Linked DNA regions of Drosophila melanogaster. The protein of the gene in region 2 interacts with the protein of the main gene of each other region in a pairwise test. Each region holds a gene or a part of one and is shown on either strand. Other genes may lie near its edges.

Region 1 (16,290 bases), 7.1 Mb from region 2:
AAGCAGAAATCACGCACATACGCAGCAGCGGGCAAGATTCAGTCCATTGGCTACCAGAACAAGAACATGGGCGCCAATATCGCCCTAAGCGAAGCCATGGGCACCACGGCCAAGACGATGGGTGAAATGAATAAGGTGATGCGACCGGAGGCCATCGGGGAAACAGTGCGCCAGTTCCAGGCGGCCAACATGAAGATGGAAATGACCGACGAGATGATCAACGACACGCTGGACGACATGCTGAATGAGTCCGGCGACGAGGAGGAGTCCAATGCCGTAGTCAACAAGGTGCTCGACGAGATCGGCATCGAGATCTCCGGCAAGATGTCCAGCATCCCGGCCACGGGATCCTCAGACTTTGAGACGAGTGGCAAGCGCACCGAGAAGGACATTGCCGATCAACTGGCCAAGCTGCGCTCCTCTTAGTCCTTACCTGTTTTTCATTCTATTTTGTAACTACTGTGAACATCGCTGTTATCCATAGCCCGTAAGAAATTATATTTATGTACACCGCTTACAAACGAGCTGTCATTCCACCGCCAGCCACAATGGACTCTCCGGTAATGTAGCCCGCATCCTCGGAGACCAAAAAGGAGACCACGCCAGCCATCTCCTCACTGGTGCCCAGACGACCCATGGGTATTTTGCTCAAAGCCGCTTCATTCGCCGACTCATTCTCGTACAGTGCTTTCGAGAACTTTGTCCTGATGACTCCTGGAGCCAGGCAGTTGACGCGAATGCCCTCGGGCGCCAGATCCTTGGCGGCTGCCTTGGTCAAGCCAATCAGCGCGGTCTTGCTGACGGAATAGGCTCCCAGTAGCTATGCGATTAAGATAACGGAGATAAGCATTGAACAACTGAACCGCAGATAAGGCGACTAACCTCAAAGGCATCATAGCCAGCAATGGAGGAGACGAAAACGATGCTGGAGTTCTTTTGCTGGCGCAGGAGAGGCAGTGCCTCCTTGGCCAGCAGATAGGAACTCTTCACGTTCACATCGAAGATCTTGTCCCACACCTTCTCATCGCACTCGAGGACACCGCCGACCGCAGGATTGGTGGCTGCATTGCTGACCAGAATGTTGAGCTTGCCAAACTTGCTAATGGTCTCCTCAAAGAGCTGTTTGCGATCCTCGGGTTCGCTGACATGGCACTTCAGACCGTGGACATTCAAGTTCAGTTTGCGCAGCTCCGCCAGAGCAGAGTCCACATTCTTTTGCTTGCGACTGCTGATGACCACTGCGGCGCCATCTTCGGCCAGCCTTTTGGCAATCGCGAAACCAATGCTGGGAGGGATTAATCAGAATTTAGTGGGTGCGATCCTCTCCAGTTTCTATTGAGCTGCTTACCCATCGGTGGAGGCGGTGACCACGGCTACTTTTCCTGCCAAACGCTTCATCGTGCCGGCTGTCGAACTTTGACTACTGCTGGACAAGCGTTTGTGGCATTGATTGAGATTAGGGCCAACAAGTTTTCGGCTGTAATTGTTGCTGTTTTGATCGAAACTTGAACTTTGACCACTTCCACTCACAGCGCTGGCATTCAGACGGATCTTGGGCGCCCTGACCACCAGTTGTTTGCTCAGATGCAACATTTTTGAAGTAGGACTTTTGCGAAGGATCTTGAGATTCGTTGCCTAATAATTGATTTTCCCTATTTTAACTACGAATCTCCAAACTGTTTACTAGTTCTTCTTTTCAGCGGTTTGCCATTCACAGTGAATGAAAAAGCTCATTCGCCGGTGGCGCGAAATTTGAAAATTTATTAAAGTTATCTCTGCAGTGGCTTAGTAATAAAAACCAGATTAACCTACATAATAACTAAAATTAGGGCTAAAAATATCATTTATCCCTAGTCAATATGTTGTAATACTCCACTTAGGGCCACTCAGTCATGGGCAGATAAGAATTCTTGAAAAGAAAATCTTCCCACAGCAAGATAAACGCTGCGTTTCGTAATAATATAAACAAAGATAAATACGCATGACAAACAAACCGCAAAAAGTTGGAGAATCGCTTGACATAATGGACTGTTTTCGGATCCGAAACATATATATGTACTATATATATGTACATACGAGCCGAAAGTGCAAATTAATAGGGGATCGCAGCGATCCGTACGATCTGACTTCATTATAGACGCAGTCGTCGGCGGAATCAGCACGCAAGTGGAGTCTCCGGTTTTCCAAGTCAATCCGGCACGCGCTTACGGCTTTGTTAGTTAGCAACTTTTCGCAACCGTCGGCGGGGCATGTGATACGAAAAAAGGCGCCCATGCTAGTGAAACTAATCAGCAAACTAAAGATACACTAAGCCAAAGAATATTAAGTGAAACACACATAGAACAAGATGAGCGAGCAGACAAAGGAAATCGAAGCTCTGCCGCCCACCTTGCAGGACTTCAAGGCTCCCGATCTGCCGGCCAATAAGCCAGTGCTCTTCTTCCATCCGTACAACTTCCATGCGCAAAAAGTTAGTAACCGCTTGCTTTCAATCATGTGATCATTGAAAAGGTATTTGCCCAACAGATCCAGCCGCTAATGCCGCGAAATTACAAAACTAATCATTTCCAAATGAAATCATCGTTTTATTTACTTTTTTTCTCGTATTTCTTTTGTTTTTTTCGATGTAATAATGGGGTGGCCCGCGTCGAAGGTTCTCCACCCAAGATCTTTATTAAATCTCTCGGCCACTCGGATGCAATGGAGCATGACCTAGCGGGTGGCGGGCCGGAAATGTAGTAGGGCTAGCGCTATTGGAGTTCTCTAGTTTTCCATTCTGTACAGATATGACAGCATATTTACCTGCTGGCTGCTCCAGGTGCTAATGAAGTGGATTGAAGCGGAGTGAAAAAACAAAATAAACAAACTTATGTGTGGAGGAATCTGCTCCAAAAGAACGTAATATAATAACTAAACCGAAATGATTTAATTTAATGCCAGATCGTGTCTAAAAATATCTGTTTTGGTTAATGAAGCGAGTAATTAGTAGCGGAATATTGCATCTTTGGGTTCGTCTTTAGATACATTTAAGCAAATGCACATATATACTTAATATCTGAGTTATAAATCTGCTAATATCATAGCTCAGTTAAAGTGAACCCACTTATCATCGCAGGTTCTTATGGTCTTCTACGAGAAGAAGATCGACTTCTTTCCCTATGTGGTGGACCTGTGCAATGGCGAGCAGTACTCCAATTGGTTCCTAAACCTCAATCCCAAGGGCGATGTGCCAGTGCTCCAGGATGGCGCCCTCGTCATTCCCAGCTCGACGCACATCATCAACTATGTGGAGAGCAAATTTCGCGGTGGTAATTCCCAGTTAGCTACCCGCCCATAGTAACTTGACTTATCAACTTCATCATTTAGATCGATCGCTGAAGCCAGCGCACAACTCCAAGGAATTCGATCAAATGCTGATCTTCGAGCAGGCAATGGCCCGCCTTCCAGTGGGAACACTCAGCCTGGGCTCCTTCATACACGACGATCTGAAGCTGGTGCCCAAGGCGCCCTTCATCGGACCCGTGCGCCAGTCCTGCCTGAGTAAGTTACTCGCACCTGTGAACTCAACAACATAACTCAACAGTCAACACTCGTACGCCCCGCAGAAAACAATGAAAAGGTGCTGGATCTGCTGCGCCACTCGGTGGACGAACAGGCGACCAAAAAAGCAGCGCTGCAGCACAAGCTGGACATACAGTTGCGCCGCCACGAGCTGGCCTCGTCCCGCGAGGAATTCCAGAAGGTTCTGGATGCCGTGCGGCACTTTCTGCTCTATGTGGAGCAGGAGCTAACCGCCCAGGCGCCACGCGTTGAGTGGCTGACCGGCGACGAACTGAGCGTGGCGGATATCTCGCTGGGATTGCTGCTGCATCGACTGTATCAGCTGGGATTCGAGAATCAGTTCTGGACCTTCGGAAAGCTGCCGCAGGTGGAGGCATACTTCTTGCGCTTCCGGCAGCGCGAGTCCTTCCACCGCCTGCAGCCGAGCAACTTTGCCATACTGCGCGAAATGTGGACCCGAACGCCGGGCAACTATAAGCTAGGAGCGGGCGCCGGCTTCCTGGGTATGGCCATGTTCGCCGCCTTCGCGCACAAGTGAGCGGAGCAGCGGGACAGCAGACTTTGTTAACAAATCCTTTTACTGTTAAAGTTGGGCACATATAAACACACGAACATAAGAACGCTTAAAGCTACGCACTGCTGATGAAGGATGCTTGGGGTGTCATGGTAAGAATCCGGCGGTGGAGGAGGATGAGGAGAAGAGCGCGCGATCCAGTGCCAGCCTCGGCTGCTTGCTTAGTAATATCATCATCGTTTCATATCATCGTTGCTGAATATACAAAAATTTGGTATAAATTCCAATCCGTCACCTAACTATCAATTCCTTCTATGCTTGATGGCTGCTCTCCCCTCTGTTGACTTGACCAGGGTTCAGCTCTCAGCTCTCCAGCGTCTGCTGCTCGCGATCCCTTTCCCGTTTCTGCTGATCGGACATCAGCAAATTGGCGGCTGCACTGGCCGCCTTGGGGCTGGTGAACAGCGGCATTCCCATAAACGTGGGTATCTGCTGATCCCTTGGCACTCCCGTCGTTGCCGCCTTGCCATTGAGGTTGGTCCTCGAACTGTTGGATCCCGAGCTCGTGGTGGCCGCACCCGTGGATAAATGCGAGGGTCGCTTGAAGGGGAAGGTGGGTATCTCTCGCTGATAGCTGAAGCTTCCGTTGCCAGGCGCCTCAGGCAGCAGACCGGGCGTGGGATACCAGAAGCGATAGGTGAAGTACCAGGTGAGTATGGCAATAATGCCGCTGATCACCTTCTCGATCATGCGGTGATAGTACAGCATGGTGCCCACCAACATGATGTCCCACAGCAGCTGCAGGGCCGCCATGCCGATGAATAGGGTGCGAATGATCGGCGTCAGGCGTTTGTACAAGAACTGCAGGCTGCGCATTTGCTCCTCGTTCAGCGTTCTCAGCGGATTCGTGCCCGAGTTCTCGGCTGTGCTGCGATTGTGTCGCTCGTTGCGGATGTGCTCCTTGATGGTCTCCCAGCGGATGATGGGACGCGCCTCCTCGATCAGCACCAGGCTGGAGTGGATCAGGATGAAGGCGTGTCCGGATATATCAAAGCCCTTCCACAGATGACCAGCCTTCAAACAGCTCGATTTGGTCGCATAACCTGGAAGCGCACACGCGATAGTTATTATTAAATTCATTACACGATGCTTGTATACCCACCCTTTGTGGTGCAGCGTCCGTAGGAGTTCTCCACGACGTTAAACAGCTTGGTCCAGAAGAACCAGAAGAAGGTGGCTATGACGATGCGCGGGAAATGGTGTCGCAGCATCCGTTTGTGGTCGCCACACGTAATCGTATAGGCCGAGAGCACCAGGAAGGGCACCACGAAGAGCAGCGTCCAGCCCCAGCCGATCTTCACGAAGTACTGGTTGAACAGGTTGTCCGATCGGGCGAAGTACGTCTTGGGGAAGGGCACAAAGTCCCCGATTACGGAGATCACAAACAGACTGCCCAGATACAAGGCTACTTTGAGGTCCGTATTGAAGAATATGGTCTTCTTGCACAAATGGATGACGCCCATGACCAGGATCTCGCGGATGCTAGTGGGTGCGGCCGTGGGCCTCGTTCCGCGCGCTTCCGACCTGGTGATGTCAGGTCCTCCGGGCCTGAAATTCATGTTGGAACCGGAGGAGGAGGGACTTCCCGCAGTACCGCCCAAATTTGGACGCAGCGGACGTCGCTTGGTGGCCATAGCTGGAGCTGTTGCTCGGGTCCAAAGTGTGTCACTTGAAAACTGCGTTGTTTGCTGCCGTTTTTGGTAATGCTGCGAGTGAAAAGCGAAAGTGAAAGCGAAGGAATCGTGCGTGTCAAAGTTCAACGGTTGCCAGACGCACTTACCTGTGACCAAACAGTGCCAGCGCATTCAAATCAGATCAACTGGTCAATTTGTTTGCTTTTTCGCCGGGCTTAGAGCACCCACTGCGTTGTTCTCAGTTGTAATTTTTCAATTCTTATTTTGGCCCAAATGTACGTGTTGCGCCTGTAAAAAATAGAACAGCTGCAGCTGGTGAGCACGCTTCACTGTGACTGGCAACTCTGATTGGAATTTTTATAAAGAGCGGGTTTCGTGGCGAATGGCAAGCCATGTGATCAGCTGTTCGGGCCTGAGATTTATCTCGAGCATTTTTAATTGCCGGTGCGGTTTTAATTGAACTGCGGCATGTACAACTCGGCCAAGCAGCTGCAGCGCGTGCTGACAGCGCGCGAGATTCGTAAAACCTTTTTGGATCATTTCACCGTCAATCATGGCCACAAGTTCGTTCGCTCCAGCCCGGTGGTGCCCTTTTGCGATCCCACTGTGGCTTTCGTTAACGCGGGCATGAATCAGGTGAGGTAACAGGCCCATTAAAAGCTATTGTTCGCTTGTTTATACGATGGCCTTCGCTGTAGTTCAAGTCGGTGTTCCTGGGCACAGCAGCGGCGCCACACAAGCGGGTTGTCAACTCCCAGAAGTGCGTCCGCGTTGGGGGAAAGCACAATGATCTCTCCGTGGTGGGCACGGATGGCTATCATCACACGTTCTTTGAGATGCTGGGCAACTGGTCCTTTGGGGATTACTTCAAGGTGGGTGCGTTCAGCTTACCCTCTATCACTTCTTTCTCACGAGACCTTTGGGTTTTCAGCGGGAGGCGTGTGCAATGGCCCTGGAGCTGCTCCGTGGTCCCTACAACATTGATCCAGGTCGTCTATACGTCACATACTTTGCTGGCGACAAGGTGCTGGGCATTCCAGCCGATCTGGAGTGTTTCGAGATCTGGAGGAGCCTGGGGTAAAGCTTGTTACATAACGAGAAGTTGGTTTCTTAAGTACTCGTGCTTTGCAGCTTTCCCGCCTCGCGAATACTGCCCTTTGGCTGCGCCGACAATTTTTGGGAAATGGGCGCTACAGGGCCGTGTGGTCCCTGCACCGAAATCCACATAGATCATCGCCCGGATTTGGGCAGCGTGGAGCAGCGAGCCAAGTTGGTGAACGCAGGTCGTTCCGATCTCACAGAGCTTTGGAATCTTGTCTTTATACAGTACAATCGGTGAGGATTTGCCTTCAAGTGGATTGTGTTCCTAGCCTAAGGTTCTTTATGCATTGATAGTCATGCCGATGGCAGCATCTCTCAATTGCCCGCTCATCATGTGGACACCGGCATGGGTTTTGAGCGGCTAACGGCTGTGCTTCAGAATAAGTCTTCTAACTATGATACGGACTTGTTCACGCCGATATTTGATGGCATCCAGCAGGCGGCCAAGACTCCGGTTTACAGTGGCAGCTTTCCGGATGGTGGAAATGCAGCAGTACTCGACACCAGCTATAGGATACTAGCCGATCATGCACGCATGGTGACCGCCTGTTTGGCCGACGGCATGCTTCCAGATCAAAAGTAAGCTTGTACTCATGCCCTGCAAATTTCGCATATAATCCAATATCTATTTCAGTCAGAAATTGCGTCGCGTGCTGCGCAAAGCTCTCAACATTTCGGAGCATGTGTTTGCCCACGACAAATTGCTGACCCAGCTAGTTCCTATTGTGGTGGAGACACTTGGTGAAGCCTATCCAGAGATGGCGGCTAAGCAGCAGGCTGTTATCGACTTGATCTGCCACGAGCAGGAGGTCTACAAGAATCTAAGAGAGAGTTCTTCCAAAGCGTTTGCAGAGGTGCTTATGGAGTTTCCCAATCTGGATGACATCGATCTGATGGAGTGCCCGGGATTCGTGCCCGCCTATCGAGAGTTGCAGATGCAGCGCTGCAAGTTTTCCAATAACACAATACCAGGGGACTTCCTTTACAAGCTGACCGATACCTACGGCCTGACCGAGGAGAGTTTCCTCAAGCTGGCTGAATTGGAGAACATGAACTGTGATTTGGAGCGCTACAGGGCGGAGGTCAGTCTGGCGAAGCTCAAAGCCAAGGGCAACCAAAGGGAGACTGCTGGAGGATCACTCTGCGATCTGGCCACGGAGCAGCGTATTGCTGAAGCTCAGGCGATGCTAACGAAGCGTCTGACACCCACCGACAACAGTCACAAGTACACCTACTCCTTCGACAAGGAGAGTGATTCATACCAAATACCCCCACTAAAGACTCGAGTCCTCGGAATGCTCCTCAACGATGCGGAAGTGTCACGAACCCAAGGCAGTCGCATACAGCAACCCTTCACCGACCTTATTTCCATTGTGACCGCTGGCAGCAATTTCTACTATGAATCCGGAGGTCAACAATCGGATGGCGGAAAGATCCTTGTGAGCAATCACCAACAGCCAGACCATCCTCATTCACTAGACGTAATCGGTGTAAAGCATCTCAACGATTGCGTAGTTCACATCTGCAAGTTATCCAGTCCCACCGACGCCTTTCAGCTGGCCATTGGGGATGAGGTGGAGCTGCAGGTGGATGCGCAGCAGAGACAGCTCAACACGTGCCATCACACAGGTGAGATGAATATGTTAGAGTTACTAGAACCGATTACAATCAATCCCTATAATTCTAGCCACGCATCTACTAAACGCCGCCATCCGATCGCTTTTCAAGAAGGTCACCTACCAGGTCTCCAGTTCTGTGAGCAGCGATCAGTGCAAGCTGGAGCTGGGACTCCTGGGCAAGCGCATTCAAAAGACCGATGTACAGCTCATCGAGGATCTGATCAAGTGGGTCGTCCTGATATTAGAAATTTTTATGAATTTAACTTACAATCCTTTGCAATAGTCGCGTTATCTGCTCTGCTGCGCCGGTTGAAGTTCAATTGCTGAGTGCAGCTGAAGTTCTGGAGCAGAATGACATCACAATGGTGCCCGGCGAGGTTTATCCTGAGCAGGGATTGCGTCTAGTCAACGTGGAGAGTCCTGAACTGCAGCTGAGCTCCAAGGAACTGTGCTGCGGAACGCATGCAACCAACACCAGTGAGCTTTCGTGCTTCTGCATCGTGAATCTCAAGCAAACCAATCGTGCGAGATTCGCATTTACCGCCGTTGCTGGCCAGGCGGCGGAAAATGTGAGTGGACTTATATATCGCCTTAGACTAGTCATTTAATCTTCTTACTCTGTTCCAAATAGGTGCTGAAAACGGCTGCCCTGCTGCGACACCGCGTTGATCTCCTCGAGAAGCAGTTCCAAACTGACAAACTCACAAACGCTACGGAGGCGGAACTGCAGACGATTCGGCACAACATGTTGCACACGGACATTAAACTGCCATACGCTTTTAAGATGGACACGCTGGAACGCATCACCGAGATGCTGAAGAGAATAAAAGATTCATCGCGCACAACCTTAAAGTAAGTTTAACTTATTAAAGTAATGTGCTCCATTTCTAAACTCTACATTTTCAGAGAATTTGTGGACGTAGAGATGCGCACGCTGCTGCAGGAGAAGCCGTTGGACACACACCCCTTCATTCTGCACTACATCACCAGTTCCGCGCTCGTGGAGGAGATTCCTTTGCAACGAGCCACCAAGCTGTGCCCGGATCGGCCCATCCTCGTAATCAGCGTGTGTGATAGCGTGGTCAAGGCTCGCTGTTGTGTACCAGAAAAGTGTATCACGGAGAAATTCAACGCTTCCGCCTGGCTGCAATCCTTTGCCGACACCTTTAATGGACAAATAGCCGCGCCCAAGGGCCAAAATCCGCAGGCCGTGTGCAACATGAAGGGTCGACGGGTGAGCAATCTGTTCGAGGAACAGTTGGAGCAGGCAATGTCCAAGGCACATGCATACGCTAAGCTTTATCTATAGGTATAAGTTGTGATTACCCTCCAAAATGTGCTAGCTGTAAGCTTGCCCTTTGAATAATTGCTCATGTGAGGAGCGAGTAAATGGCGAAGTTTTAAGGAATTTCAGAATCTTTAATCACTAATCACTACCAGGTCATCCTCCTCCTCATCTTCTGCGTTATCCTCTTGATCCTGGGGCACCAAGCTGGAGTTCATCAACTCTTCAAAGACATCCGCATTATCGGAACTTTGATTGAAGAAGTAACTTATGTTATCCAAGGGCTTCACTGGCGTTGGAATCTTTTCGCTGATGCGATGCTGCATCTTGAATCGCTCCACTGGCGTCCTGGCCAGCTTCTGCAGATCTCCCTTGACCAGCAGATCAAAACTGTCCTCCAAGGAGAATCGCTTACTCTGCGGTAGTTGATCCACTTGAGAGAGATCTCTTTTCGTTTCCACTTTGGGCGATTCATTCACATTTCCTAGACTCATCTGCGCCAGACGTAAGCTCAAATCTTCCGCCATGGGTTCGTAATGAAGCTGGTGACCATCGTGGTTGGTCAGTGCTGGCTTGGCATTCGGATTCGAGATAATGCCTTTAACTATGTCCGACATATCGAACTCTTCGGCATCGCAATCGCTTTCCAGATCGGAGGGCAGGAACTTGGTGATGGGGGTGGAGCATTGCTGACGTTGCGGAGCGGGAGCCTTGACCGGAGTACCTTCCTTCTTGCGCCCTAGGAATTGGTGCAGTAATGGCTGGTTCTCTTCAGGCTGAGCCTTTATCTTTCTGACCACTCGCTTTGGTTTCGAATTCGGCTCGTTTTCCTTATTCTCCTCTTCAGATGCGGTTTTCTTCTTTCGCGTGGTTTTCTTGGCGGGCTTCTCCTTCGACTTCAAAAAGGCCGCTACTAAATCGGGATACGCTGTCTCCAGCATGTCCAATGGCTCAATGGTGTAGTAAAGTTCCTCGATTCCCTTGGGATGCTCCGCTTCGTACTCCGCAATCTGCTTGTCCGGAATAAGACCCTTGAAGATGCCACTGGGATCGTGCCAGCGCAATTCTAAGCTGGGCACACCCTTCACAGTTCGCTTTTTGATAATCTCGTGTGGCTGGATAAGTATCTTCTCCTGCTTCGATTGCTGCACCTGCCAGCGTGTGAGTATGGGAAAGAACTTTTGGAAGCAGTATATTTCTGGCCACTGCAAGAGATGTCCGATTTGTTTGATGAATTTGACAAGATTTGGTTGCCGCCAGTTGAGATTTAGATTGGGAATGGTGTCGGGTTCGCTGAGAAACTCGGCAATGATCTCTTCGTTGGGAAAGTCAGGAGATAATAGGGCTTTCCGCCTCAAAGTCAACTCGGACTTAATGGATAGTCGTTGTTCTCTAAGGGAAGAGTTTAATAAACAAATGTTTATATTAGTTTTAGGAAATAGCTCACTTCCAGAGACTCTCATCGCAGCCTTTGTGTGTGCGACACACACTGCAGCCACTTTTTGTGTGGCTCTGGGTCTTGCCAATGTGGCCACAATTGCTGCAGATGGATTTGTCGTCCACTCGGATCTCCAAGGCATTGTATTTATCGGTTTCACCACGCCAGCTTCTCATTCTGCAGAAATAATAATCAAAGCTTATTAGCTTTAAAAATATAATATATGTAACAATGTAGTAGACTACCTATCCAAAATCTCAGTCTCCTTGTACTTGTTGAACAGCTTTAGGACGCCATCCTTGCCAATGCCACCTATGCCATCAGGACAATAATCACAGCCGCAGAGCAAAGCCATCACAATGATCTTCTGTTGGCCAAAGTCCATTCGGGATGTGATCTCCCGCATGTCGTAGATGTCCACAGCTCCGCCGGCGGCTGCCTGGGCTCCTTGGGTGGAAACGGAGAAGTTGCGATAGACACGAACGGCTCCATAGGCAAAGCAATCCGAGTCCTGGCTAATGACGCCGTCCACTAGCTGCGGACAGGAATATAATCGGATTTGGTACAGAGTTCTTGTGAGGATGTAGTTGATATACGTACGCCATGCTTGTTGAGAAAGGCACAGTAGGCCTCCGCCTCGCCGGGACCTTGGACGCACTGGATTCCCATGGAGAGCAGCAGCGTTTCGCACTGCTTGAGAACATGGTTGAACCGGCTGCGTCCCTTGTCGCCCTTGGACGGCTGACTTTGGGTGCACTCAGGCGAATTCTTGGGCTTCACTCCCCGAAACTGGAGCTCATTCCTTTTGGCTATCACCTGGCTCTTGAGTTTTGGAGCAACTCCCTCCAAAACGAAAACCGGAGTAACTTGCTCCCAAATCAAGTAGCAAGTGCGAAAGAAGAGGTTCCTGTTGGTAAAGCGTAAATATTAATATTTTAAAAGAATATAAGGTATTAAGAATTTTTTAAACCTACTTTAAATGATGCCTTGGATGCACAAAGTAGTCCACAACATTAAGAGATTCGCACACCCAGCCGGCCAGGTCGATGGCCACTTTCTTTCCCCGCAGTTCATTAATGGGTTTACGTTCACAATGGGGCGTTAAAACACCCCATAATTCCTTGACGCCCATTTAAATAAGCTAAACAAAAACCCCGCGAGAAATTCGCAACAAATTTAAACAATCGCTTCTTCGTCAGAGTTGCCCAATCAGTTACTTTCTAGCTACTTGAAGCTATATTCAAAAGCAGCCAAGTGCAAAGTTGTGACAATAATTGGCAATGATAACTTTTTTAACAATAATACATGATGCTATTTTCAATAACAAATATTATACATATAAATGTCATCTTATTCGATTTTAAGAACACATTTCGTTTTTAGCTTTTTTTGAGCTTGTCTCTAGCTACATTTGACAGCACTGCGACTTCCGCCAGTCACTGCGAAGCATGCTCGATAACCGATAGCGGGCTTTGTTTTGACAGCTGCACAAGCGACCGCTGCGAATGGCCAGTGGTCAGCAGTCTCTTCTTCTTCCACGTCGACGTGTCGTGTCAGCCAAAAGAAAGTCGAAATAAAATATTGAATTGAAGCTGCCCCTTTGCGAGTAGGCCCGACAAAATTCAGAAGCTGCCAGTCGTCCGTACGCCAAACCACACACAACCACCACCGGCAAGATGGTTCTCGCGGATTTGGGTCGCAAGATAACAACGGCGCTGCACTCGCTCAGCAAGGCGACCGTAATCAATGAGGAGGCACTGAATTCCATGCTGAAGGAGATCTGCGCAGCGCTCCTGGAGGCTGATGTGAATATCCGACTGGTTAAGCAGCTGCGCGAGAATGTGCGTGCCGTTATTGATTTCGATGAGATGGCCGGTGGCCTGAACAAGAGGCGAATGATCCAATCGGCTGTGTTCAAGGAGCTCGTCAAACTGGTCGATCCCGGCGTGAAACCCTACCAACCCATCAAGGGCAAGGCCAATGTGGTCATGTTTGTGGGTCTGCAGGGCTCCGGTAAGACCACCACCTGTACCAAGCTGGCCTATCACTACCAGAAGCGCAACTGGAAGTCGTGTCTCGTGTGCGCGGATACCTTCCGTGCTGGTGCCTACGATCAGGTCAAGCAGAACGCCACCAAGGCGCGCATTCCGTTCTACGGCAGCTACACGGAAATCGATCCCGTGGTCATTGCCCAGGACGGTGTGGATATGTTCAAACGCGAGGGTTTCGAGATGATCATTGTGGACACCTCGGGTCGGCACAAGCAGGAGGAATCACTGTTCGAGGAGATGTTGGCAGTGTCCAATGCCGTCAGTCCCGACAACATAATCTTCGTGATGGACGCCACCATCGGACAGGCTTGCGAGGCTCAAGCGAAAGCCTTCAAAGACAAGGTGGACATCGGTTCGGTGATCATAACCAAGTTGGATGGCCACGCCAAGGGAGGCGGAGCTCTGTCCGCAGTGGCAGCCACACAGTCGCCCATCATCTTCATCGGTACGGGCGAGCACATCGACGATCTGGAGCCCTTCAAGACGAAACCCTTCGTGAGCAAACTGCTTGGAATGGGTGACATCGAAGGACTGATAGATAAGGTGAGACATGCCACACGAGCTTAAAATTATACCGCACTACAATACAATTGAAAACACGTACTGAATATAAACTCATTTTGCACAGGTAAACGAGCTGAAGCTAGACGGAAACGATGAGCTGTTAGAAAAGATCAAGCACGGTCATTTCACCATCCGCGACATGTACGAGCAGTTCCAGAACATCATGAAGATGGGCCCCTTCTCCCAGTTCATGAACATGATACCCGGTTTCTCGCAGGACTTTATGACCAAGGGCGGCGAACAGGAGTCGATGGCGCGCGTTAAGCGTATGATGACGATGATGGACAGTATGTCGGATAATGAACTGGACAATCGCGACGGAGCAAAGCTCTTTAGCAAGCAGCCAAACCGCTGCGTTCGTGTGGCCCAGGGAGCTGGTGTCATGGAGCGCGAGGTCAAGGAACTGATTGCACACTATACGAAATTTTCGGCGGTAGTAAAGAAGATGGGCGGCGTTAAGGGACTGTTCAAGCAGGGCGACATGACCAAGAATGTGAATCCAACACAGATGGCCAAGCTCAACCAGCAGATAGCGAAGATGATCGATCCCCGGATGCTGCAACAGATGGGCGGCGTTGGTGGTATCCAAAATATGATGAGGCAACTGCAGCAAGGAGCTGCGGGTGGTTTGGGTGGCCTGGGGAACCTGATGAGCGGTTTTGGTGGCAAGTGAGCAGGTGGCGTGTAAATTTAACGATTTTTATATGATTTTGTTTTCGCGTAGTTCGTAATTTGTTAGCCATTTGTTTCCATTTGTCCAAGGCCACAAAAATTGATACGCGTTGTGGAAGCGAATATAGCGTATATAGCCTATAAAGCCCATATAGATGTGCAAACAGTTAACAAATTCGGTTTTTGTACGGCTTGGCAGCCACAGTGTCAGTTTTTATAGTTTAAACAGTTTTCTGTACACGAACTAATGGAATTAGCATGCCTATCAGAATACCAGTAAGGCAATTGAACTAGATATAAACAATAAATAATTAATATATGAACTTGGCTTTAAATTGGTTGTGTTTATTGGGTTTAATCTCGGGCAACGAAAAGCAGAAATCCAGTCACCCTGTTGACCTAACACATACAACTAAAACAAAAAACAAGTTGCGAACAGGTGCCCAGAAAGATCGAAAGGATGCCAACGCAGCAAGGAAACCAAAATAAACAAACAGGCTGGCGGGCAAATTGTTAATGCTGTTTTTGGGGGAGGGTCTGTACACATACTCAAATGTATGCCTAGTGGGGTTGTACACTCAAAAAAAAAAACCTGACAGAAATTTATTTTTATTTGTCTGAATCATAATGGGTTATCATAGTGGATTATTTTGCAAATCTTTGGAAATTTATATTCAATTTCTCTTTTTAAGTTTTGACAACACTTTTTTCTGCGTGTGGTGTTTGGTGGCTCAGCTTTTCTGGTGGGGCTGACAGCATCCCTCGATTCTGTCCCGGAAGTTGTGCTTCGTCTGGGATTTTGGGGTTGTCACTTTCTCTCTCCCTTGCGTGCTGAAAACTCCATAATCCCAGCCACTCTGCCTTTTGCAATAACAATGAAATGGCGATTGCCTGCCATAAAAATGTCTATTAAGCTGTCAGGTTCTGACACTCATAAAACCATCAAACAAGTCAAACGAACAGGATAGCAGCAAAATCAGCAGGACGAACCGCTGTCAAAGTTTTCGGCCTCATCCTGGCGGCTTCCCCACGCACACATAGGCTCACATTCTCGCTAGGAGATTATACATGTGTATGTGTGCTGCGTCCTTTCATATTTCTTGCGCCCCCCACAAAAGGACTTTATTTATGGGTGGGTGGGATGAAAAGATACAGATACACGCCCCCACACAGAGTCCAAATTATTTTATGAGCGCAGAGGCAGAATGCCTTTGGCATCCTTGGCAGGATAACCCTTCTCCAGAAGGATATTTCCTTAGATTTCCAACCCCAGCGTAAGATTTGCTGAAAAAAGCGAATCGAATATTCTACATACTAAATTCCCAAACCGTGGAATAAAAAATGCATTTAGTTTTTGTTTTCTTACAGAAAATCAATTTGTCTTTTATTGATTCAGAAAAAGTTCAGTTTCATTTTTTTGTGTTTTTTTTTTTTGGTTTTTGGATGACAGCATTTGCTCTTTAGGTTTTCCTTTTTCTTACCAAAGAGACGTTTTCCTCGTGTTTTTTTCTTTTATGTGTTCTTCAACACTTCAACTCAACGTCCACAGTTAAATCTTTTGCTATTTTCGGTTTTAATGCTTTCTGTGTAGCTTTCAAGTCGGGGCAGGAATTTCTCAGCCTGCCCTCGCTTAGCTTCTTGCTTGATTCTTTCGCTTCCGCTTCCGGTTCGGTTCTATACTGATCTATTCTCATTTCTTTTTTACTTACAATTAGATTTAATTTTTTTTTTCGTCATTTACTTTCTGTGTTTTTTTTTTTGTTTTTGTTGTTCAACTAGTCTTAAGCGAAA
Region 2 (15,737 bases):
TTGTTTTTTTCTGAGATTTTGGGAGTTTTTACGCAGAACGTGAAGAAAACTGGAAAATGCTAAGAAAACCGTAGAACAATAACATCGATTGAGTCAGCTTTGTTGTGATTTCGATGTGGAGCGTAATCTACATATTAATTTTGTTTATAATATAGAATCAACAAACTTGATTCATCGCCGTTCTCCCGAAATTTGGCCAAAAAGTTTCGCTTGGAATTAGAAACATTTTTTTGGACTTTGAGGCGTAGATGAATAACTTATTCGAGAGACGAACTCTATGGCGCCAACGAACCGAACTGAATCAGAAAATAAATATTTCGGAGTCCCCCGTTGTTTACGGATCACGAAAATGCCAATGGAGATGGAGATGCGCAAAAGCAACTTTCATAAACGCCAAAAAAATTCCATCTTTTCAGTTGAATGAAAACATTTTCAACTATGCCGAACGGAAAACGAAAAACGAGTCTTCTTCTAACGAGAATTCGATTAGAGTTTATACATAATTAAATACGTATTTGTCACCTGTTCTATTCTCTGCAAACTTGGCTTTTAACTTGATTTTCTCTTTGCCAAAAATCATATGAAATTCGAGGAAATCTCTTCGGGCTGCCGAAATAATTCATACCCGATGGACATAATCTTATATTTCGGGAATAGGCGCTATCAAATTAGCACAATTCCACTTCCGTTTCCCATTTAAAATTTGAACTTTGCCTTTGGTTAGACGCGCCAAATGAAAATCTAAGATTCGGGGAGACTCCGTCTCCGTCCAGCGTTATAAACGAGATTTTACGACCAGCTGGCTGTCATAACAACCGGCTACTGGAGAAGCCTTTGCCGATCTGTCCAGTTCGGAGCGGCGGAGATAGCCGGCGAAATATGTAGATTTTTGCTGAGCGCGAGCGACGAGGTATAAAATATCACGGCTCCATCAGAATCGATTTAGATTGAAGCGAACATTCAAAGCGCGCAGAACTCAGAGAAACGCAAAAAAAAGTTATAAAAAAAAAGCGAAAAGACTTAACTTCAAGATTCGCAAAACGAGACTGATTCAGTGACAAGTGCAGTACAGAAAATAAAATGATCCACAAGAGCATAGCCCACCTGCTGGGACTGGCAGTGATCATGTTAATGATGTGGAAGCCCACACCCACGGATAGCTACGCCGTGGGACAATCGAAGTACGGCAGGATCGAGAAGTTCCCCTACCAGGTGATGCTCATCGGCAAGCAGCTATGGCGCAAACGGATTCTGTGCGGCGGCACACTGCTGGACAAACGTTGGATCCTAACAGCTGGACACTGCACCATGGGCGTGACCCACTACGATGTGTATCTGGGCACCAAGAGCGTGGAGGATACGGAGGTGTCCGGCGGTCTGGTGCTCCGCTCCAACAAGTTCATCGTGCACGAACGTTTCAATCCGGAGACGGCGGCCAATGATATTGCGCTGGTCAAGCTGCCGCAGGATGTGGCATTCACACCGCGAATTCAGCCCGCCTCGCTGCCAAGCAGATATCGACATGACCAGTTCGCGGGCATGAGCGTGGTGGCCAGCGGATGGGGCGCCATGGTGGAGATGACCAACTCGGACTCGATGCAGTACACCGAGCTGAAGGTGATCTCAAATGCGGAGTGCGCCCAGGAGTACGATGTGGTCACGTCGGGAGTGATCTGTGCCAAGGGCCTGAAGGATGAGACAGTGTGCACTGGTGACTCTGGCGGTCCACTCGTTCTCAAGGACACTCAAATAGTGGTGGGCATAACCAGTTTCGGGCCAGCCGATGGTTGTGAGACCAATATTCCCGGAGGCTTCACCCGCGTCACACACTATCTGGACTGGATCGAGAGCAAGATTGGTAGCCATGGCCAAGTACATCAGCAGTACCTGCGACCACAGCAGCAACATCACCACCATCAGTACAGTGATAACAATCTCATTTAGGATGCCTCATTTTGCGGATGGAATCATCCCAACAAACCACTGACTGAAACTTTATAGCTTTATGTTTTTTAAAGGAATTCTCCAATCTTGTGATATCGTAGCTCTCATTGAAATCTGCACATTGTTTATAGCGTTAACTATTTAAAAACATCTATATTTATTTTAGTTGTAAGCGTGATAGCGGACTCGCAAACAAAAAGAAAGCAACAAATGTTGCAAAATCTAAAGAAATTGAATATGAAAAAATAAAAACAAAAAACAAAAATCACACATATAGTAGCCACAAAAAACTGAAACCTGATTCGGCTTTTCTGTCTGTTTAGTCATGCTGATTTTTGTGGAATTGGAATTCCCGCATTTCGTAGGGATCTCAGATCTCGATCGATAAAAGTGATAATTTCTGAGCGGTTTAACTGTTTCGTTTTCTATTCACATTGTTAGCTTGGGGTTTTCGTACACGCGGTCCTCCAGAGATCTTTACATAATTTACGAACCCCATAATTGCTTATGGGCCATCTTCCGAAAACCACTTACTTTACATAATATTTCGCTATTGACTTTACACTCGACTCGACTCGATCCGAACGTCAAGAACTCGAAGCCACTCCAGTTGGATGGGGAGCTCCACATTCACACGATGACGTCTGGTATTTAGTTCCGTGATAGATGGACGATTCTATTACTACCAGTTACCAGTTTCGAGATTGGAGATTTTCATTTCAGTTCAAATTGTGTCAGTTCTATTTTGCGTTCAAATCGATGTTCGTGACGCACTCGTTTCGTTGGCAGAACATTCCTTTCGATGGCAGATTTATCACAAATTGATATCATCTTATGGCCCAAAATACTTTTCTGATTTAACTGGGCTCAGCAAGAAATCCCCAACGGATTTCTGGCAGTTGATCAATTAATCCAATGACTTGATCTGATTTAAATTCGCTAGCAAAGCCATATAATTTATTGTGACTAGAGCAGTTTATCGGGTGCAACTTGTTAATGTGTAGCAAAGATACATATATGCAAAGAATTTGGAAAGTGCCTCTATAAAAAGCGTCTTCGCCATTTAACCATAAATAAGTAAATGGACGAAATCTTATATGTGTCTATAAAACTCCTTGTAGAGCAGCAATTAATCAGTGTATTCGTTCACAACGAAAATGTCCATGTAAATGAGATATTTAGCAAGGTATTTTAGATAAATTTGTTCTACTGGAACTTCCACATTTAAACGCTGATAGCAAACTGGTTCAGTGAACAAAATGTAGTCTTATAGTTTTCGATAATAAATCACGTGGCAATCACAACATTCAAGGCAATCGTTTTCAAATGTTTTCCATTCAAACACACGCGCCCTTGGATCATTCAATTAGTTTATGAATAATTAGCTAAATTAAAGCCCTAAATCGTGCCTAGTCAAGATTAGCATTTTTATAGAATACTTGGAGAAAATGCAAACTATCAAATTACAGTCATTGCTCAATTAATTATTAACATTTTATGATCTCTCAGGCAAAACGAGTGGAGGGTGCCTAAAGTTGATTCGAAACATTCCATTTGTATGTGTAAATTTATTTAAAGCACTAGATCAATTATTGCTTGTCACGAATTAAAGGATAATGCCATAACATAACATAACATAGATTTAGACTAATTTATTTGGTGTTTCGCATTCATTTGTGCTCAGCTCTGAGATTGTGTGTTTCGCGCTAAAAAGTGCACTAGAAATGTTGACTTTGGTACCGGTTTCCTAATGGATTAGCATTCTACTAGCACTGGGCGGCGGCATTCTGCTGCTTCTTCTTCAGCACACAGTCAATGGCCTGGACGACTTCCAGAAAGATGTCGTCCACGTCACGCTCGGCATTGATCTGTGATTAAAACGAAAGAGTTGCTAATTATTGGGGGACTTTTGCACATGGAAAATGCATATGCGATACTAACCGTAAGGGTTTTGGGCTCATAAAGTTCCAAAATTGCATTGGTGTTCTGCTTGAAGGTCAGGAGGCGTGCCCTAATGGTCTTCTCGTTGTCATCGTCCCGTTTCACCGCCGAGGCAGCGGCACGTGCCATGATGCGCTGCACCATCGTGTCCTCGGAGCACTCAAAGTACAGCGCCAGATCGGCGGGTGCAATGCGCGCCTCGAACTCAATGCCCTGGTTCTTCTGACGCGGATATCCATCGATGAGGAATCCCTTCGAGCTACCCTTGGCCCGCGTGATGGCGTCGTTCAGCAGGGACAGCACCTCGTCGTTGGACACCAGGCCACCGCTGGCCATCACAGCCTGCAGCTGACGACCCTTGTCCGATCCAGAAGCCACCTACAAGATAGAGGAATATTAGAAACTAATAAATAATTATTAACAATTGAAATTCTAAGCTAATTTGAATTGAAAGTAACCATATAGATATTAAATGATTCTTTCAATGGAAACGTATAATTATCTCAATAGTTTAAGTTCGCATCGCAATACTTTGGGTAATAACAATGAATAGCAATGAATTTTGCGATCCAAATATAATCATTTTCCAAAATCGCCATACACCCTTGCCATCTGCAAGCAACAGATAGCACCGACTATTCCAGTATTTCCGCCCAAATTACCTCATTGCGCAGCAAATCGCCGCTGCTCAGATGTGTGAATCCGTATTTTTCCACGATTTTGGCGCACTGAGTGCCCTTGCCGCACCCGGGTCCACCCAAGATCCAGATGATGGGTATATCAGCCTGTAAGGACAAGATTTGAGTTAGCAGGCACACAACACCGAGGCATAGGAACATCTACAATTAGCTGGTTTAGTGGTAACACGTACGCAAGCTTAGTTGGATTAAGGGGCATGGATAGAGGGTTTCAAAAGAGGGTTTATTTTTTTCAATATTCTCGGATCGAAATTCGTTTGTTTTTTGGTGAAGCGGCGGCCAGACAGTTAACATGCCATACATCAACTAATCCTAGTAAATAGGATATAGTGCCCGTTGACTCGGATTCGATCCAGTTGGGCTACTTACGGCGGCACGTGCCCTACGGAGCTCCTCGGCTTTGAGCTTCTCCTCGGCCTCCTTCTTCATAACCCTTTGGTGACACATAAATAACTACACAATCGAGATAGTTGGTGAGGATGGTTAGATATCTCCGACTTATAGTTTGAACTACATCCGAGATGTATTTTGGCATAGGTTAATATGTAGTTATTAGTAGTTTGGGCACTTTGCCAGCACGAAATAGTGTTCTTACTACAAAAATGGGATTTTATATATATATAGGTTACACATATTTCATTGGCCCCTGACATTGATCTTGTACAGAAAACCCCCGCGTCACACATATCATTTCAATTTGGGGTAATTTGGGGCAATTGGCACCTCTGCTCCATTCACACAAATGGTATTGATAATGGCTTGATCTCATCAACAAAAATCTAGATTAGTATAAACAATGCCATCGCTCCCGTTGTCGGCCCGTGACCATATAGATAGATAGATATAGCGTGTGTGCAGATCAGCTTTTGATATAGTATTTTGTATTTTGAAGGCCCCCGCCGATTTTCGCCTGTTCCGCATTGTCGCACCCGTCGAAAAATGGGGTAAAAAAAAAAATGAAAATACAATATAGAAAATGAATGAATTCGGATTCGGACAGCTTAATAATGCCCAGGTTGTTTGCTGCCTGGCACCTATAGATTTTTCGATTTTCCTCAGAGCATAAAAACGCAGACGTTGTTTTTCACCGACTTTTCTTATGGCACATTTCTACGCATTTAAATTGTTGCGTGTGAGAATTTATGATTTTCAAGCTCATTTACGTAATTTCTCTTCACATTTATATAGATTGTGTAGTTCAGTGACTTTTCAATGTCATTTCCAAGGATTCGCCGTTGTTAATAATTCAAAACTAACCTGTACATGGTGATTTAACAAGTGTCGAGGTTCCCAAATACTTAAGGGTAATTATAGAAAATTATAGCAGCGACATCACAAGTGCTTTCTATTCAAACTATTCAGCTAGCTAACTCACGTGGATTTTTACGAAACTCGGCTTTTGATTTCGATATATGTATTTTTAGGATGATTTTCCTTTGTTTATTTTTAGAACTAACTATAACTATAATTTTCTAGGAAGAACTGCACACATGCTTTCCGTTCAAACGGAACTAAAAAACTATCCAGCAAACTTAGAGGAATTTTTATGGAACCCGCCTCTAGATCTTTTATATGGTGTTCTTTTTAATTTTTTTGCTTTGTTTTGACACTTTAATAATGCGACGCGACCAAGACTAAAAACCGGCATGACTGTCTAGTTCGAGTAGCGCCAATAAACACATTTAAACTGCTTTTTTTGGCGACGAGGCTGGGGACTTGCTAATGAATCAAGCCCCGCCAGAAATTCCTGTGTGCCGAGCAACTGGTCATAAATTTATTCAAATCGGGATTTTGACGTCAAAATTCGTTTGTTCGAGCTTGGAATGTGAAATTTTGGTATTTATTTTTTGTTTGTTTGTTTCTTTCAGTTGCTAATTTGTTTTGTTCGGGTAGGGAATTTCACAGATTCGTAATCGTTGGAATTAGGAGAGGCTCTATTTATAACAAAACCGTAAACATGGAACAGCTGACCGGGAGCTTCTCATTCTCATTCTCATCTCATACCCCATTCTCAGCTTCAAAAAAAAAAAAAAAAGCTGAGTAAGCTTGTGGCCCCGAAACTTTCTTAATTGCAACGCTGGGCTGCAAGGTCAAGTGCAATGCAAGTGGCTCAAGGCCGATTTGACCGCTCTGAATCCTCAATTTTAAAGCCATTGCTTCACTTTCCCCCGTTGGAGTGCAAGGCCGTTTTAAATCAGAGTGAAACATTTGGGGTGTGTGTGTGTGGGTTACAAACAAATAAAAATAAATTGGGCATTAAGCAGAAACGAAAACACAAATCACAGCAACCGCGCACTGAAAACACTCACCATGATGATGATGATGTATACTAGATATACACGTCGCTGCTGCGGGCCTTTCGCTGAAGAAATCGCGAAATATTCGGTAGTTTGTTAGCCGGATGCCTTACTAGCCTTCCCTTAGCGCCACTTGGTCGGTCGATTCTCGCCCAGATTCTCGAATGCTCCGCCCGACTGTTTTCCACCCACCCTCTGTGCTGCGTGAGTTGAGAGTGACTGAGTGAATGAAAAGGCTTTCGATTCCGTTTCGATTCGATCCGATTCGGCTAACGGTTTCACTGCGCACAGACACGCGAGCTTTTCGCACAAAGCTTTCCGATTAACAGTGCTTTTATTTTGGCCGTTTTCGAGTATAACCCGAATTGGTCAATTCAAATTTTGAGTGTATTGTCGTAGGAAATTCGTATTGTCATGATCAAATTCAAATTTGATTCTTATGATCCTGGCTTATCTTCTTAACTCATTGAATCTATGTATATTTGTGCTAATTTTGTTTCAGCTTGTGTTGGAACAGTAATGAATCCAACTCTTTAAAGTGCTATTGTGACGATTTATGATCTTATCCATATTTAATTGGATTTCCTTTAACATTGTGTCTGTCTCCCGTCTCCTCCTGATTACCTCCATTTTGACCAATGCGATGGGGATATACTTCATTTGAATTTTCTGGTCATGAGTTCACCATAGGAACATCCTCCTGTAACATATTTGTATTAGATTTTTAATGTAGGGTATAACTAACAGAATACCGTAGCTGAACACAAATTGTTCAGAAACAATGCCTGAATATCAAAATAAATACATTTTTTCGGATATTTGGATATTTTGATTAGTTTTGCTTGTTCTTTTGGGCATTCTCGTGCCGGCATTCTTTATAAACAATGTCTGGTAAATAAAATAAACTATTCGAGCTTTTAAAATACTAACACGTACAATTTATTGAGGTGGCACATCCGCTGTATGGGCAATCATCAACTAATATAGTACAGAAAGGCCTGTATCTGTTTGGATTCGCTTACGGATATGACGAGCAGTGGTGCGGTGAGAAGATGTTTAATCTTGGAGATTTTGTCGTGGGTGGGAAACGCCACCTGCGATGGAAGTATAATTACATTAAAGTTTGGTGCGTTGGGTGCACTTTTTTTGAAACCCCTATTGTGCAGATGTAAATCAAAGATTATCTTCAAAGCAGAGGGCGTATCTAATTCGTCTTTGGTATAATCTTGGCTTTCAAGTTGCACCAAATCGAACTTTTCAAAGATCTCTTCGAATTTGGCATATGCAAATTCGCCTTTTAGTTGATCCACGAGACTTCGGCCCGTTGTGGAGAATTTTTCTTTTTTACTAGCAGGTTCTTCGATTGGTTTTTCCACAGCCATACGTTTTCGTTGTCCGAATTTCAAATCTATGGGATCTACAACAATATTAGGATCTTCTGCCTTTTGAGATGTTATAAGTTCCTTTAAATCTTCCATACGCTTTTCCGCGATAGGATAAATGGGTGAGGTTTTGATATGATCTGGTACTGGCAGATTTCCCACTTTTTCCTTCAGCAGTGCCCAAATACAATCTGCACTCGTAACTTCTTGTGGAATTTCCTTAGGAGGCACATGTTTCACTACTATATAGCCAGATCGGGATAAAGCCGAGTAAACTAGGTAGTTGGTGTACCTTTCGCTTTCCAACTCGCCGAGGAGGAGCACATATGCTTGCTCAATTGAAACTACTAAACCACAGTACTCCAGTTGTAAACGTCCCTGAAAAGTACATGTTCCATATATCTCGATTGAATTTAAAGGGCGATTTTATAACTCACAACTTCTAGTAGGAACATAGCTTCATAGTACTCCAAATAGAGCTTTCCCTGCTCACTGTATCCGAAATTTTCAAATTTACCATCTTTGCGTTTGACTTCTGCCACTTGTTGCTCTTCGTTCCAAATGGCAAGTGCCCTTCCTCCGAGTCTTTCTATTCGAGGCACTGACAATTGAGCACGCAAATACTCTAAAATGTTATAAACATAATAATATATATATTGGTGTTAAATATTTATAACAAATTCGAACCCTGCGCTCGTTTAAGCTCCTCAACTTCCGCTGCAGTTCCCTCATTTTTAGTACGCTTTAGACCTCCACTCGGAGGTTCGAATTCAGTGTGACGATGCGCAATGAGCTCCTGGGCACTGAAATTAATTGATTTTAAGCTAAGGTATTCATATCTCAGTCAGGAATTACCTTAAATAGCTATTTTTTGGATGAATTTCCACATATTCTGAATCTTGTGTTTTGGTGTCCATGTCAGTGTGACCAAGGCCAATCCGTTCAAATATACCATCATTAACAAGCTTACCAATTGTTACCGATGAATCGATTACTTTTGGCGGGCTTATATCGTTTTTGAAATTTGGAGTAACTTTAACTTAAGAAAAAATTTCTGAAACCCTAATTTCTAAGTTTCAGTTTGCATCATTCTTATTCAATTCAACACCTAGATGGCCTTTCCCAAAAAGCAATACACCATTATTCTCTATTTATAAATCTTTATTCTTTGTATAATTGTAGTTTTGTTAGTTTCGCATAACATACGCTTAACATTTCTTGCCCTCTCATGCAATGGAGCTTGTCGAAATCTCGAACTCGTTTTAATTGATGTCATATAACATTTTACACCTTGAAAATACACTTATTGGTAGATTTATGAACATTTAATACACCACATTGTTGCTTTTAACTCTTATGCTGTTAACATTTTCTCATCGACTCGACAATTTCAACTTCACGTATATTGCAGGATATTTCTAGTTGGCTTTCTTTTCTTTGTTTCTTCGGTTTCTGGCTACACCGCAAATGTTTTTTAAACTCTGAACTGCGAAACGAACCCCTTTCTGTTTCTGCTGTTTGTAAAAACTTAAATACAAAAATTATACACTATAACTAACCGTACATTGTATATTGTTTATCATTATGTATATGTTACCTATAACTCATTTATATGTATGCGTCGTGTATTGTATAAACAGTTTCTCCATAGTATTGGTTGCTCCTTTAATTTGTCCTTTGTTAATGCCCTCAAATTGTTAACATTGTTCACCACATTTGTATTATACATATGCATACATATATCCGTAAATGCTTTAGTTATTATCATCTACATATATGCATAGATATATTTCTCTTTCTGTTTCAAATGCGTAACGCTTTAAGGTAATATTTTTTATCTGCCTGCTGATAGGTCGTTTCATTATATCCCCCCTCTCCATCGAATCACCGCACCCCCTCCCCCCACCACACATAGTAAATGAAAATCGATTCAGTTAAAAGTAGGGAAAACTTAACAATACTCTCCCCCTTGACATGAATATCTACACTTATGTACAGGACAAAGAGGACCGCTTAGACTATGGCCACGTTTGTGGTCACGGAAGTGGCATTCGGTTTGCCCGACTTCACCAGGCACGACTGTGAGTTGTTGCCCATGCTGGAGCCATCCAAGCTGTCCAAATCCAAGGCCGTGTCTATCATCGTGTTGTCGTGCAGCATTCTCAATCTCTCCGCCGACTTCACCTGCTCGGCTCCATCGCCCAGGGACTTTCTTTTCACATGACACGAAGCACTAACCGGATCGTCCAGGTCGAGATCGTCGCAGAGCAGAGTGGAGGACAGTACATTGTTTGCCTGTTCCTGCTGCTTGCGTTCATCGATGATATTGGAGTATACATGCAGCGTGGAATCGGCCGGATCCGTATCATTGTCCACTGGCAACACATTGCTATACATGTTCTCCGTTTTTCCACTGATGGCAGCCGCTAATAGAGCTGCGCCCGCAGAGGGCTTTCCGGAACTGCTTGCTCCTTCACCTCTGACATGGTTATCCGCCAATGAGGAGTTGACCAGTGCCGCCTCGAAGTCAGCATCGAAGAGATTGCTATAGCTTCCGCTGCGGTTGCGCATTTCTCTTGCCTTATTGGAGGCTATGGCTGCCACGGCAGCCACCACTTCGGGACTGCCCACGACCACAACATCTGGATCATCCAGCTCATCCTCGCTGCTGGCGTTGGCCAACTGATTCTCATAGCTAACAGTGCCGCCATTGCATATCTGGCGCTGTTTGTGATGACGATGGCGGTACTGACGCGCCTGGGTGGCCGTTTGGTGGGTATAAGCCGGAATGTCCATTTGGACCAGCGGTATCTCGTTGTCCACCAGCTGAGCTAGACTATTGGAATTACCTGGAAACGAGACGGAAAAAAAAAGGGGAGAAGGGCGCAACGAAAGCGCGTGATTAGTAATTGATATTTAATTTCGTTCTATTGTATGTTTAATTAATGCACGTATATAATTGAAATGCTCATTACAACGAATTTGCCAACTAATTTAAAATTCAAATTTCAATTTGGAGCATTTGTATCTAGTGGTTTTATTGCTCTTTTGCTAGTGGTCATTGATGATTTGTTTAGGTTCGCTATCGTTTAGCTGTGGCAAAATAAAACTATTTAAATATGCAAATAATCATAAATGCTGAAAAGGGCGCCAAATTAAAATCGTAATTCAATCAAATGCGGGGGCGGGTTTTGTTTTGTGTGTTCAATCGAACTAATACACGTGTAATTGCAATCTGAGGAGAAACTGCCTCGGAACTGGTTGGAAATCAACTTAATTCGAAACTCATCAGTTGATAAGCTCCTAAAACCGAATAAACAACAATGATAACTGAAAATTGAATGACAAACGCCGTAGAGTATGCGCAAATAAAGACGGAAACTGGACGCTAATTAATGGATAATGGATTCAGTGGTTAAGTCGGTGCCAATTGAACAATTTAAAGCATGCTTTCAAAATGTTGTGAGTGCAATTAGTAGGTAGCTTGCCAATAAATTACTGCTAAATACCATATTAAACTTTGACTTTTGTTTTGTGTTCGGATGGTTGTTTTATATTGAATGGTGATGCATTTTGGGTTAATGGTGGAAACAAATCATCGACATGAGCAACATAATAGAATATCAGCTATTTCGCAGTGGCGATTTAAGCAGCAGAAAATCAAACTCAAAGATATATGTATGGTTATGGTGTAGCTAATTTCAAACGAAACTCTAAAGCTTTGATTAAATTTCGGTGTTTGGTTATTTTTATTTCGGTACATACAACAATCAAATGTGTTTGCATTAGGAGAGAACTCACCCAATTAAGGCTTAAAATGCATTTTTACTCTAGTCTTAAGCGGCCCTCGACAACTTTCGCTCAATTGCAGTTTTAGTTTGGGTCATTAAATAGTTACAGACACAAATTGTAAGTATTGTTTGTTTTTTTGTTAGTTAATCCCAGAGTCAAGTTGAAAGATACAGAAAGAGTTTGACATTAGTGTGCGATAAATCAAGAGGAGGGTTATAGCTTTGTTTTTTCTTGGTGGATGTGTGCGAGCTTTAGCCGGTCAAAATCAAAATCGGGGAGCCTAAAGGATAATGGATAATGGAAAATGTAGAGGAGTGGAAAATCTGAAGCCTTCATTTCGTGTCTATGTGTGTGTGAGTGATTCGCCGGGGGCTACATATGCATATATGGTTCCAATAATCGTTCAGGATCGCAAGTAGGTCTCACGATCTTCCTGAAAGGATGCGATACGCTTCAACATCGGGATTAGTACTTATAGATAGTTATGGATCTGCTTTCGATCCACATTAAACATACGCTACATACACTTTATTGCCCAACATTTAACCATACATATGTGTGTATATAAGTACATGTATAAATTTACGTTTTCATCAGTTAACACTCGCTTTCATATATATATAATATGTATATATATAATATATATAACTAGCTACAACTTCAATTATCTGGCTAATGCGTATTACACTTGCAATTAATTATAAAAGGAACCCATAATATTGTTAATGCTCAAGATTTAAAGCCTTGTAGGCGGCATTTGAGCCGCAATTACTTCTTTAAGCTGGCTTACATATATGTATACCTACGATTTTCACCTCCACAAAAGTCCAGCAATTTAGTGCCCGAAAAATGTTTGTCTTTCAACTATTACGAACTAGGTATAAATATTTGCAATTTCAATATTCGTTTTCATTTTCATTTCAATTTCAACATTTCGCATTGTTCGGTATTTTGTTTATTGCTAATTATTTGCAGCAGTCACTTGGCAATGTTCCAATATTCAAGATTAAGACATATTCGATATTTGATATTCAATTCGTTTGCAACAATTTCTCGTTTTCCACTATTAGTTTTAAAATGTTCGACGTTCCCTTAGCACTGATACATAGTTTATCAAATTCTTATTGAATTCCGTCGTTTAGTTTACGTTTACAATTAATTTTAAATTTCATTGTAAAAATGAAAAAAGTCCTAACAAAATGTTGCTTCGATAAATGGCAGTTATTTTGGCTCATTAAGTTTTTGTTTTCATATTCTTTTCGGTTCTTTTTGTTTTGTTTTGCTAATTTCACTAATTGCAAGTTAAAGTTTTCGTTCATAATCTATGTTCGGCTGAAACCTTCCAAATTAATCGAGAATTCAACTGAAGGCCCAAGTGACTGCGATCATTTACAAAAATCTCACAAGGTTCCCAACAAAAAGCAAAATCATTAAGCACTTTACCAGGCGAACTTAGTCAAACATGCTTGGCTGGGGATGTTGGTTTACTGGTTTACTAGTTTACTGGTTTTTTGGATCTTTGGTTTGCTGGTTAGTAGGTTGTTTGGTTGCTTGGTTAGTTGGTTAGTTGGTTAGTTGGTGTCTTCACTATTGGAGGTGGCGGCGCTGGGACGTAGACCAAGGTGGATACATACATACACGGGTGGCATTTAGCGGCCCCTGGCGCCGAGTCGCCCCCTATTGCAAACGCATCTTGCAGCAGGAGGGATCCGACGCACCTAGCCTGGGAAGCAGGTGCTATATAAACGCAAAAGTTTCTATGAACCAAGTTTTTCGGGGGGTCTGGAAGTGGAACTGGAACTGGTGGTGGAACGGGGGGAAAGTCTACAGCAAGGGTTGGTGGTTTCAAACATTAAACACAAATCAAATACAAGTTCGACTTCTACAAAAAGAGGGAGTGCAAACACACAAATGCAGATTCGAATACGAGTATACGGATACGGATACAGATGCGGATTTTCAGGCTGCAAAAGGGTAGCGGTTACATTTGCACTAACAACTATGCGCATCCTGGAAGCCAAGTGAGTCTCACAAATGTGCCACAATCAGACTGTGATAGATTCCCTCAAAGTTAAAATCAAGGCTGCAAACTTTTAAATTTATTCGCTCCGTTGCTTTGGCTCCAAGTTTTCAACACTCAGTTGAGCAAAATATTTGCTTGCAAATCGAAATCAAAGAAATCACATTGATAAATGGTAAATAGATGGTGAAAAAAATGCGACTTTTGGGCAAAATTATAGGGTTATCCGGTTTTGATTAGAATCTTATTGTGTAAATAAATAAGCCAGTTTCATTATAGAATTAGTTTCTTAAATAAAATCCATCACAGTCCGAATTTGAAATAAACCCGAACCGTTTCAAAATAGTTCGGTCAACAAATGGCTTGCAGCCTTGATTAAAATATATGTACATTGCAAACTATTCAAAAAAAACTTAATCAATGCCTAGTCAAGCCCTTATATTAAATCCTAAACGAATTCCTAGTTATAGCCATAATCGAAAAGCTGCTCTCGAGTCTAAAGCTAAACAGAGTTGCCCCAAAATAAGTGGGGCACATTCCGGAAAACTGGACCCGATGTGGCGCCTTAGCAAAAGCGTGGAAGCATTAGGAATCGGGCTGGCCAGGGCCCGGCCTTATGTACAGCGCCCAACAACCGATCGAGGAGGATGACCAGGAGACGGACCAGCCCACCGATGCGATGGACGTGACCGTGGCCCAGGGCGGCGGAGCAGCGGACTGCTGCTGCGTACTATGACGAGTCACTGCCCGCCGCATCCTCGATGATCGAGTTGAGATCGATGTTGAACGAATACTCATAGAGATTGGAGTAGCGGTCGCGCTCCTTCCACGGCGACCGGTGATTCATATAAAGATTTCGTTTACTAACACGAAAGATCTGGCTGTCCTTGATCGACTGATCGTCATCGCAGGGTTCACCGCCACCGCCAAAGTCGCACTCGCGAATCGTCAGCCGGTTGGTCGGCGACTTTAGTTCGAACATCACCTCCTGGTGCTTGTACGGTTTACGCATCGGCAGCGGCTGATAGCCGGCTATATTAACCTTTTGCGAGTCCACCGACATGGTCGACTGACGTCGCATTCCGCGTGCCGCCTTCGGGAACGGATAGTTCCTCATCAGATTGGAGTCGGTGCTGCGTTGCGGCGAATAGTATTTGAAGTCCGTGGGCGCCGGCGCTTGCGGCGCCGTAGTGTGTATGGTGGTCAGAGTGCTGTTGCTGGCGGAGATTGCTCCGCTGGCCTGCAGCTGCAGCGTCGACGGGCGTCGTGGCGCCAGCGGCGGTGGTGCCGTGGCCAACGACACGGACACCGAAGTGGGTGCGGTGGTGGTGGCGGAGGAGGAGGAACCACCCGTACCAGTGCCGGTACCGGTATTGGTGCCGCTGGCGCCGGATGCCACCGCCGCTGCTGCTGCTGCCACCGTGCCAATGGCTGTGGTCTGCTGGGCATGAACGTGGTGATGCAGCAGCGGGAGCGGCGAGTGGCGGACATCGTCGTACGACGGTGTCAGCGGCAGGTGCAGCGAACGCTTGAGGTTCAACCGGTAGGAGGAGGACGTAGCCGGCGAGCGCAGAAGCGAGGGCGAATTGGGACCCGGTCCTGGACCGCCCTCATGTTGCTGCAACTCGGCGGCCACCAGGTGCTGCTTCAGTTGCTTGTGTTT

Evidence for each region.
Region 1: the proteins of Tsen54 (region 2) and Gdap1 interact in a two-hybrid assay, tested with the Drosophila melanogaster proteins (one large-scale study listed by BioGRID).

The regions. Positions count from the first base shown.
Region 1 is NT_037436.4:5,139,958-5,156,247, forward strand, and holds Gdap1 (Gdap1), read left to right. Parts: upstream 1-1,995; 5' UTR 1,996-2,347; coding exon 2,348-2,470; intron 2,471-2,562; exon of another isoform or gene 2,563-2,823; intron 2,824-3,115; coding exon 3,116-3,308; intron 3,309-3,366; coding exon 3,367-3,540; intron 3,541-3,605; coding exon 3,606-4,099; 3' UTR 4,100-4,150; coding exon of another isoform or gene 4,151-4,164; 3' UTR 4,165-4,360; downstream 4,361-16,290. Other genes in the region: CHMP2B (charged multivesicular body protein 2b), read left to right, coding at 1-426; Dhrs4 (Dehydrogenase/reductase 4), read right to left, coding at 515-820, 883-1,285, 1,349-1,593; Fitm (Fat storage inducing transmembrane protein), read right to left, coding at 4,439-5,178, 5,238-5,940; AlaRS-m (Alanyl-tRNA synthetase, mitochondrial), read left to right, coding at 6,238-6,405, 6,468-6,641, 6,701-6,846, 6,901-7,104, 7,165-7,449, 7,505-8,499, 8,558-8,714, 8,773-9,058 and 2 more; Gen (XPG-like endonuclease), read right to left, coding at 9,909-11,166, 11,222-11,389, 11,458-11,747, 11,813-12,119, 12,187-12,344; Srp54k (signal recognition particle 54k), read left to right, coding at 12,889-13,806, 13,892-14,500.
Region 2 is NT_037436.4:12,196,827-12,212,563, forward strand, and holds Tsen54 (tRNA splicing endonuclease subunit 54), read right to left. Parts: upstream 9,197-15,737; 5' UTR 9,180-9,196; coding exon 9,118-9,179; intron 9,066-9,117; coding exon 8,950-9,065; intron 8,888-8,949; coding exon 8,700-8,887; intron 8,641-8,699; coding exon 7,855-8,640; 3' UTR 7,817-7,854; intron 7,581-7,816; 3' UTR 7,297-7,580; downstream 1-7,296. Other genes in the region: CG11529 (uncharacterized protein), read left to right, coding at 1,081-1,944; Ak1 (adenylate kinase 1), read right to left, coding at 3,711-3,812, 3,886-4,263, 4,548-4,670, 4,953-5,036, 6,893-6,895; app (approximated), read right to left, coding at 14,805-15,737.